Caenorhabditis elegans: one gene and its partner. The protein of the gene in region 2 purifies or fractionates together with the protein of the main gene of each other region. This does not show direct contact. Each region holds a gene or a part of one and is shown on either strand. Other genes may lie near its edges.

Region 1 (3,722 bases), on a different chromosome or scaffold from region 2:
GGGTTCTGGGGTTGAATGCCCTAATAATTGAGAATTTCCAGAAATACTTGCAAATTTATGATGATTACGGTGATTTTTCGGATGAGGAGGAGCACGTGCTGAAGATGTGCAAATTCGGAGAGCCTGCTATCAGAGAGTTCATTGTCGCGAACTTTTCGGCTGAAGAGATCGTCGATTTCAGATCTCAAGTATGTTTTCAAAAAGCCTTCTCACAATAAATGTTCCAATTTTCAGCTTCACGATAATCTGGAAGAATACGAAGAGAAGAACAAGCCATCTCTCATCAAAAAGCTCGTCGGAAAGATAAAAGGGATCGGCGCTCGGAGAGATGATGACTCGGATTCCGAAGAGGATTCGGAAGAGAGCTCCGACGAGGACTAAAATCATTCTTGTGTACAACCCAAACCTACTAACCCGCACATTATTTTCTGAAATAGCTTGCCACAATTGTAAATAAATATTAGCGCCTGTAATACTCTTGTAACTGGAAGAAAGTTCATTTAAGAAAATATCAAAAATTAGAACAACTTCTTGAATGGATTTCCTTGTTGCCCGCCGAGTTTGCTCTGAAAATGGAGAGACTACTGGAGCTTTATTAAAAAGGTATTCAACTAACCAAGTTCTCAATCTTCGCCTGAAGCTCGACGATTTTCTTCTGCAAGTTGTCCAAATCACCACGAGACTCCTTCAATTTCTCCAAATTCTCCGACTTTTGCTCATCCGAAACTTCCGGATTGTTGACCTGCTGCTCATACAACTGTTTGGCCGATTCATAACCAGACTTGCTCGATTCATAGATCTTCTTAATGTTCTCCAATCGAAGTTTTTCATTATTAAGAATCTCGGGAAACATTTCTAGGAATCTGACAAGTGAGAATAACCAAAAGAATGTGAAGAGCTGGCAACAATGCCTACATTTTATGCTCGAAATCTGAATATTTGCACAATTTACAGCTTTTCCTCTAACAATTCCATTTTATGTGTTTACTCTTCACGAGTCAACAGAGTTCGAACGGTTGTCTGAAATTCAGGATAGAATGCGCAGAGATTGGAACAAAATGACGGAAATCGACGCTTTCAATCGCTTCTACAATGTTACAGTTCTCTCCAAGCTGTTGAGAACAATTCACGAAGGCTTCCTCGAGTACGACCCATGTAACTGAACAACTATATTCTTTTCGAGCAATTTATTGATGATCAAGATGAAAAAGTGAAGCAATAAACAGGGTTGGATGGGGTGATTGAAAAGAAGAAAAGTTCTCACGGAGAACAAATTTAGAGCTGTCCGCAGTCGGCGATGAGGCACTCGGACTTTGGAGTTCCGGAGCTGCTTCCGTTGCCCTCGACCTTGCTGACGATGTCCAATCCTTCGACGACACGTCCGAAAACGACGTGCTTTCCGTCGAGCCAGGCAGTCTTGACGGTGCAGAGGAAGAATTGAGATCCGTTGGTGTTTGGTCCAGCGTTAGCCTGAAGAAAAACAATGAAACTTATCAGCCAGTGGATAACAGTTAAGAAACTAGATAATGCTTCTTTTCTATCAGTTTATGCTGTCTTTCAATCTGGCTAGGCAACATAACTTACCATGGAAAGGACTCCTGGTCCGGTGTGCTTCTCCTTGAAGTTCTCGTCTGGGAACTTCTCTCCGTAGATGGATTCTCCTCCAGTTCCGTTCCCGCGGGTGAAGTCTCCTCCCTGGATCATGAATTCTGGGATGATACGATGGAACTTGGATCCCTTGAAGTGGAGTGGCTTTCCGGACTTTCCGACTCCCTTCTCACCAGTGCAAAGAGCACGGAAGTTCTCAGCGGTTTTTGGAACAATATCGTTGTAGAGCTGAAAATAAGATTTAATTTCATGAAAAAAGATCAGTGTTTTGTTTACCTCCATAACGATACGTCCGGTTGGTTTTCCGGCGATGGTGATGTCGAAGAAGACTCTTGGGCGGCTCATTTTCAGGTAGGGTAATCACTAAAATGCTTGAGTTATAGTTGAGAAATATGTATGAGATAGGTATATCTACAGAGGTGCGGCAAACACGCTCTGCGGTAATAGAGCGGGAATCAATCAAAGTTAAAAATATAAACAAAGCACCATAAGATACAAGGAAGAAGCACACGGATGAGCTATATACTGAAATGGAGTGAATTAGCGCACTAAAACAGAAAATTTTAGGCCCAACTAAATTAATTTTCCTGTTGGGCCTAAAATCTGCCGAAAGACGTGATTCAACAAGGATTAAACGACAGTTGCACATCAAAAAAGTTCTTAAATAATTTTCAATTGATTTTAATTCATTTTAATAAGCGAAACTATAAAAATTCTGACAAAATCAACAAATTAGGCGACGAAAGAGAGAAGAAATGAGCCGTTCGCTTCTAGAATTTTCCGACGTAAACAACAAAGTCCGCAAAAGTGTCTGCGTACCCGACACCCAATCATACGACATGCGCCATATCTGACGACACTTTCGCTGTGTTTCCCGCCTTTTGTCAACACTTTCACCGTGCGCCTGTGTTTTCAAATGATCGTACACAAAACAACAGAACGGCGCCGAAATTGATAACAATTTTTGTAGGCAATAAAAGATTACATTGAAAAACCGGTCATTGATATCAGTTCGATCATCACCACGGTCTTCACGAAAAGAAGGAGAAATATCGAGATGATTTAACATTGAGAAACATTGAGAACATTTTAAATTGCTAAATAGATCACAAATTAATCCAACAGTTTTTCATTTTGTTGAATGCTTTCGAGATCGATTGAGCTAAATATGAAGCTCTGCATGTGACGGGTATCTGCGAAGCGGTTCGTCAAGATTAGCTTTGCTTATCCGCTAAAAAATAATCTTTTCGTACAAGGACAAAATAAAATCTGCACAAAATACATCGTGATGTGCTAAAAATGGTTAATGTGAAAGTCCTAGAAATAGACCAATAAACTTTATAAATTTTGACTGGTCTCGAAGCCATTTAGTGTACTGTAGGTGAGAGCATTGCTCAGCTTAAATTGTTTGTTTCAAATTCTTCTTCATTGTTCAAATTAAATTTATCACAAGATAAAATGTCTGGAAAAGACAATAAAGGATCAATTCGTTTTGAGATTCAAAATTTTTCTGGCTTGGCGAAGGCGACGGAGCACAAACCAGTGCAAATTGGACACGTAGAATGGTTAGTGAATTTTAATGAAACAAAAAATGTTCTAAATTATTTAAAATATTATCTTTTAAGGATTCTTGGAGCATTCACAAGCACTTCCGACGCTACGAACAATGCTAAACATCTCGGAATTCACCTGAAATGCAACGAGGAACTGCGCAGCAACTTGTGGTCCTGCGATGCGTCAATTCGTTTTTCACTTCTGAGACTCAATTCAAACGAGGATGATGACGCGTTTTCGATGGAGTTTCAGCAAAAGTTCGACGACTTGAACAAGATTGTGGTGGTCAACAATTTTAAAAATTGGGAGGAAGCCATCTGCTACGATAATCGATTTGTGCTCGATAAGCATGCCGTTCTTGAAGTCCAAATTACTGTCAACAAGATTGCCGGAATTCATGAGAGGATTATCGAGACTTTCGATCAACCCAAGGAACATCTTACCGATGTTGTGCTGGTGCTTGAAGGAAAACATGTCCATGTTGGCAAGCAAGTGCTCGCAACGAGCTCGCAATTCTTCCAAAAAATGTTCTATTCGAATTTCGCCGAAAAGACACAGGC
Region 2 (5,701 bases):
ATTCCAACTTCTCTCAAGTAAGCTAACCCGTTTGGCATGATTCGAAGGTAGATACCCGGGTTGACAGCTGAGGTGTTTTTCTATAAAAAAAATGAATATGTTGATGAAGATTTTATGAAAGATTAGATTTTTAATTTCATTTGGACTACGGTAAAACAAGTGTTTCACTGAAGTCACTGAGATGTCATATTAAATTGATATATGCAACATTGTTTCTATGGTGTCAAATGCAGTTTTTTGTTTCATTAAAATTTGTTACTTTGCTGCCAAATTTCAAAAACTATCAATAACGAGATCTTGCGATAATTTTTTTAAAAGTACAGTAATCTTCAAAGGGCACTCTTCGCATTTCGCAAATATCGTATACCGTATTATTTTTTTTGTAGATAAAGCAAAACTTCGCGTTTCATTCTTTCAATTTTGAAATGAGCCTGGAGAAATAAGCAGGTATAATCGTGGTATGTGAAAAAAGGGTCTGTCCAAAAAATTTAAATGTTTCAAAATATGAAATGCCACAACCATTGTTTTCCAATCAAATCGATAAAGATCTGCCGAACAGATAATAAATTTGATAAGCTTACATCAAGAAGTGGAGAATAATCCCGAGTGATTTCTTGTCCCGATGAAAGCCATGGTACACAGAATCCAAATAATAGTAGAACTCTCATAACTGGAAAAATAAATAAAAACTCATTTCATGTTTGCATACTGCTAGTAACGTTATATAAATATAAAAATTGAAAACTTTGGTCTTTATTTGAAAGAACCGTCTAAAAAAGAGAAATCCTCATATCAGAAATATTGATCAGTTCCTAAAAAGAGAAATCATGAAATTGAAAGGAAAATGAAAAAGTGAGGAGCGGAAAGAGGAAAAAGACTAAGAAGCCGTGAGTGTTCATCTTCTGTATCGCTTATTCTCAGAAACGACAAGAAGATGTAGATGAGAAGTGTATCAATTCGGGTACCGAACAGGTTTCGATCCCCGTCATCGCCTCGCCACAAAACATCCAATGCCCGCGAAACGGCCTTCTTATTGTCTAGACGCGTGCGAGAAGCTTATACAAACTGCGATGCACCTTTTTTTAAATTGTTTCATTTTGCTGTAAATTCACAACCATTTCAAGTAAACATAAAGGAAAGCTATATAATACTATAATACGAGGCATTAAAAATACATTATTGGAAGTTCTTGACGGCGGCAACGATGTGACGAGCAGAGATTCCGTACATGTCCACGAGAGCATCTGGTGGTCCGGAGCGTGGAACTTCCTTGACATTCAATGATCTGACACGAATCGTTGGATAATCAGCGAGAGCAGCGGAAACAGCTTCTCCTATTCCTCCAGCTGCGTAGTGGTCTTCGGTAGTAACAACTCGTCCTCCAACTTTCAGAGCGTGCTCGGCGATGGTCTTTCCATCCAGTGGCTTGATGGTGAATGGATCGATAACAGTGGCGTGAATTCCTGAAAACATAATTTTTAGTTTCAAATACAGTTTCTTTTTGAAAATAAAACTTTAAAAAGTAAAACGTAACAAAAAAAACAAACCTTCTTTCTCCAACTCCTCAGCGGCCTTCAATGACTCGTACAAAGTGACTCCCGATCCGACAAGAACAATTTTATCTTGGGCTGACTGCTTCACAACCTTGGCTTGTCCAATGTGGAATGGCTCTTCATTGTCGTAGAGAACTGGAAGTGCGGGGCGGCCGGTACGAATGAAAACAACTCCTTTTGTGTTGGCAGCCAACTCTGTTGCTCTTTCAGCAGACACGGCGTCGGTTGGGTAGAAAACAGTTGCTCCTGGGATAGTACGGAAAATTGCAAGATCTTCGAGAGCCATTTGACTTGGTCCATCTTCTCCAATTGAGACTCCGACGTGAGATCCAACGCATTTGAGATTAGCAAATGAAACAGCGGCCATACGGATCTGATCAGTGGCTCGGGTGAAGAATGCAGCGAATGTGCTGGTGAATGGAATTGTGCGGTCACGGCATTGCGCTCCCACAGCTACACCGACAAGATTCTGTTCGGCAATGAAGCACTCAATGAATTGATCTGGGTGCTTCTTAAGAAGTTTGTCAGAGAAAGTAGAGTTCTTGGTATCTCCATCAAGACCAATGACACGTGGACTAGCATCTCCAAGCTTAGCAAGTGCAGTTCCGTAAGCGGCTCTTGTGGCGACCTTGTCTCCCTTCTTGTATTCTGGGGCAGCCATTTTGATGGATCCAACATGGAGATCAATAGCAGGGGCGTCATTGATTGGCTTTTGAGCAACGAGCTTTCCCTTTTGGCTTCCGTGGAATCTAGCCTTGATGGCATTGACCTGAAATTTTTAATATGAGACTATTTCATTCTCACGTCAAACTTACTGTTCCCTCTGGGACTGGCTTTCCATGCCAATTGTCCTCGTTTTCAATTCCTTCGATTCCTTTTCCCTTCAAAGTCTTGGCGATGATGGCGGTTGGCTTTCCCTTGGTGGAACGAGCAGTCTCATATGCGGCCAAGAGCTCATCAACATTGTGTCCGTTGACAATAATGGCATTGAATCCGAAAGCGGCAAAGCGAGCTTTGTAGGTCTCTACGTCATGTCCAAGAGAAGTGGCTTGACTTTGTCCCAGTCTGTTGACATCGACAATAGCAACGAGATTGTCGAGCTTGTAGATTGAAGCAAAAGCAGCAGCTTCCCAGACAGATCCTTCAGCAGATTCACCATCTCCGAGAAGGCAGAAGACGCGGTAGCTGGCTTTGTCAATGTACTTTCCGACGTAAGCCATGCCAGTGGCAACTCCAAGTCCTTGTCCGAGAGATCCTGTAGCAACATCGATGAAGTTCAAGCGAGGAGTGGGGTGTCCTTCGATGTCCGAGTCGATTTTGCGGAGAGAGAGCACTTGCTCATGGCTCAGAAGACCGGCCTCTTCCCACGCAGCGTAGAGAATTGGGCAAGCGTGTCCCTTGGAGAGAACAAAACGATCGGCAGATGCTGATTTTGGCTCTGCGACATCGTACTTCATCTCCGAGAAGAACAGAGTTGACATAATCTCGGCTGAAAATGTTGAAATTTATCGGATTCGAGTAAATGTTGAATAATTCTTACCAGCAGACGTAGAAGACGTGGGATGTCCACTTTTGCTTGCGCAAGTCATCTCGATCGAGGAAATACGCATGCGGTTGGCAGCGTCTTCCAAATCATTGCGAAGTTGCTCCGAAACGGTCATTCTCCTGCAAAAATAATGGATTTTTGGGAGAATGTTAAAATTTTCAGAATAAGAACGGCAAAGAACATTCTCGAAGAAAATAGTGAATCGTCGGCCGTTTCACACAGGGAGAGACATACACCTTATCGTTATCAACTAGTATCATTATCATCTCAACGCACCACCATTTTCTTATCTATTATTTACTAATGGTACCACTGCATAAAACAGGAGACTGGCCGAGAAAACAACTCAAAATTCAGGCAAAAATTGCAAAGTGTTGGCAAAAAATGTCATTCTAAAGAACACCGGGCAGCGCAACGTTAACGTTTTCATCTTCGTTTCTGTACTTTGAATAAATAAAGAACTGAAAAGACAGGCCTAAAAATGTTTTTCTTGGACATATAAAATCGTGGAAAAAGACACCGCTTTCTTCTGCGTTGAAAGTATGAAAAGACAATGTCCAAAAAACCCAACACGCGTTTCATCACAACGGAAACACTAACTTTCTAGTGAGACGCAGATGTTCTGAAGGAAATTTTCATTAAAATGGAGATCCAATGACTACAAAATATACCAGTATATGAAAACAGTGACAATTCTCGATCGTTGCGCACAAAAAAGAATGTTTACCGACTAAAACAGCGGCGCTCTCGAGCGCTCTCTGATTTCTCACAAAAAAAATGATGAAAACTTTCGCGGCCATTGTGTTTTCTAGGCCCCGCGTTTGAAACTTTTTGGCGCCAAGGTGGAATCTCGAGAAAGTATCGATATCGGTATTTAAAATATGAGCTAACTTATTGTGCGTGGGGAAAGAAAATATGCTCTTAATAGGGAATTTATTGAGAAAAAAAGTTACGAAAATCTGTTAAAGAAATGCGGAAAATAAAGAAAATAAAAATTGGGGTTAAGTAAGTAAAAGAACCCGAATGAGCGTTCTCGCCTCCGGCGAGATATGCAGAGAAAGGAAATCAGAAACCACGCGCTGTCGCAAATTGGGTCAAGATCAATTCTTCCATATTTGATCTACCGAAGTTTGTAGGTCTAGAAGTGGTCTAGAAATTCTGATAATGTGTAGAAACGAATAATCGGGATTTCTGGAAAGAAAAATGCTAGTATTTTTAATTAAATTGTTATAATAAAAAGAGATGCAAAAATCGAACTTATTATATTTTGTCCTAAAAATTTTAAATCCCAAAAAAGTTACAGCATAGAGTGCAATTTTATGATTCACTATTTTCAGTCATTAATTTAAACAAGTACCACATAAAACTTAGCATAAAATAATTGTTCATTGTTAACTTGAGTACTCAAATATCACGTGGTGTCAGAATGTCCCATTTCGTTGTGATCTACAAAAAATGCGGGAGTTTAGACGTAGAGTTCTCAACTGATTTTGAATGGTTAAGAACGTGCTGACGTCACATTTTTTTGGGGAAAAAATTCCCGCATTTCTTGGAGATCAAACCGTTACAACCTGACACCACGTGAAATATAAGTATGAGGGAGTGTGCCAAGCAAGGGTTACTGTAGCTATCGTCATAAATATTAAAACCTAAATGCCATTTTAAAAAACCTAAAATGTGAATAGTTTTACATGTACATTTACAATATCTAGATTGAAGATGAATTTTAAAATAGAAAACGCGAAATTTGTTCATTTGGTGTTTTAATCTATTAAAAATACTTCACTTGTAATTGAAAAGTACCTAATCCTTGACCCCAACATATGTTATTGACATGTCCAAGGTGGTAATTGTTACAACAGGTGTGACCCAACACTCATCCTGTTGCTCTGCCATATAACCTCTCCTCCCAAGGTTTTTTGATTCATGTCAAAAATCGATTTATTTTTGATTTTACTCTCATTTTCTATAAATTTAAGTCTAGCTATTGACGATGAATGTTACATGACTGTGGTAAGATTTTGAGAAAAATTATTTTATTAATCTCAGAACAAATTTTTTTGTAGCCAGAAATAGGAAAACACTTTGGGTATGAATCAGAAGTACATTTAGTGAGAACAACGGATGAGTATATTCTGGAACTTCACAGAATCCCATGTAAACAAAATGGTAAGTCTGTCATTTTAGTTAAAAATGTGACATTTGAAAATTAAATTTATTTCGTAAACGGAAACTTCAAAATGAAGTATCGGCAGTAGAGATTTTGTACAAGTTTTCTCATTGATTTTTAACATGGCCGATTAAACAAAATGAATAATTTCAGATTTCTCTTTGTTCCAGTATTGGTAAATTTCCAAACTGTCAACAAAAAAAAGAAGTTTTTGAATAATTTAATATACATTGAATTTTGCTGTGAATTACCTTTGATATCATCTCTAATATTTTTCAGAAAAATGTGACAGAAGCTCAAAACGTCCAATAGTATTCATGCAACACGGCCTCCTTGCGGACGGATTCTCTTGGATTCCGAATCTAGCAAATCAATCGGCTGGTTTTGTTTTCGCCGATGCAGGTTTTGATATTTGGATTGCAAATAGCCGTG

What was found. The genes of interacting proteins can lie anywhere in the genome.
Region 1: the proteins of tkt-1 (region 2) and cyn-7 fractionate together in Caenorhabditis elegans (co-fractionation; one large-scale study listed by BioGRID). This does not show direct contact.

The regions. Positions count from the first base shown.
Region 1 is NC_003283.11:15,185,408-15,189,129, forward strand, and holds cyn-7 (Peptidyl-prolyl cis-trans isomerase 7), read right to left. Parts: upstream 1,972-3,722; 5' UTR 1,954-1,971; coding exon 1,885-1,953; intron 1,837-1,884; coding exon 1,585-1,836; intron 1,471-1,584; coding exon 1,276-1,470; 3' UTR 1,175-1,275; downstream 1-1,174. Other genes in the region: Y75B12B.1 (Mos1 transposase HTH domain-containing protein), read left to right, coding at 1-1; Y75B12B.3 (Transposase), read right to left, coding at 519-566, 617-853; bath-36 (BTB and MATH domain-containing protein 36), read left to right, coding at 3,067-3,173, 3,234-3,722. UniProt on the Caenorhabditis elegans protein: PPIases accelerate the folding of proteins. It catalyzes the cis-trans isomerization of proline imidic peptide bonds in oligopeptides.
Region 2 is NC_003282.8:10,241,129-10,246,829, reverse strand, and holds tkt-1 (transketolase), read right to left. Parts: upstream 3,219-5,701; 5' UTR 3,215-3,218; coding exon 3,094-3,214; intron 3,043-3,093; coding exon 2,369-3,042; intron 2,323-2,368; coding exon 1,548-2,322; intron 1,464-1,547; coding exon 1,177-1,463; 3' UTR 1,123-1,176; downstream 1-1,122. Other genes in the region: F01G10.10 (BPI2 domain-containing protein), read right to left, coding at 1-80, 582-668; lipl-7 (Lipase), read left to right, coding at 5,026-5,112, 5,166-5,268, 5,549-5,701.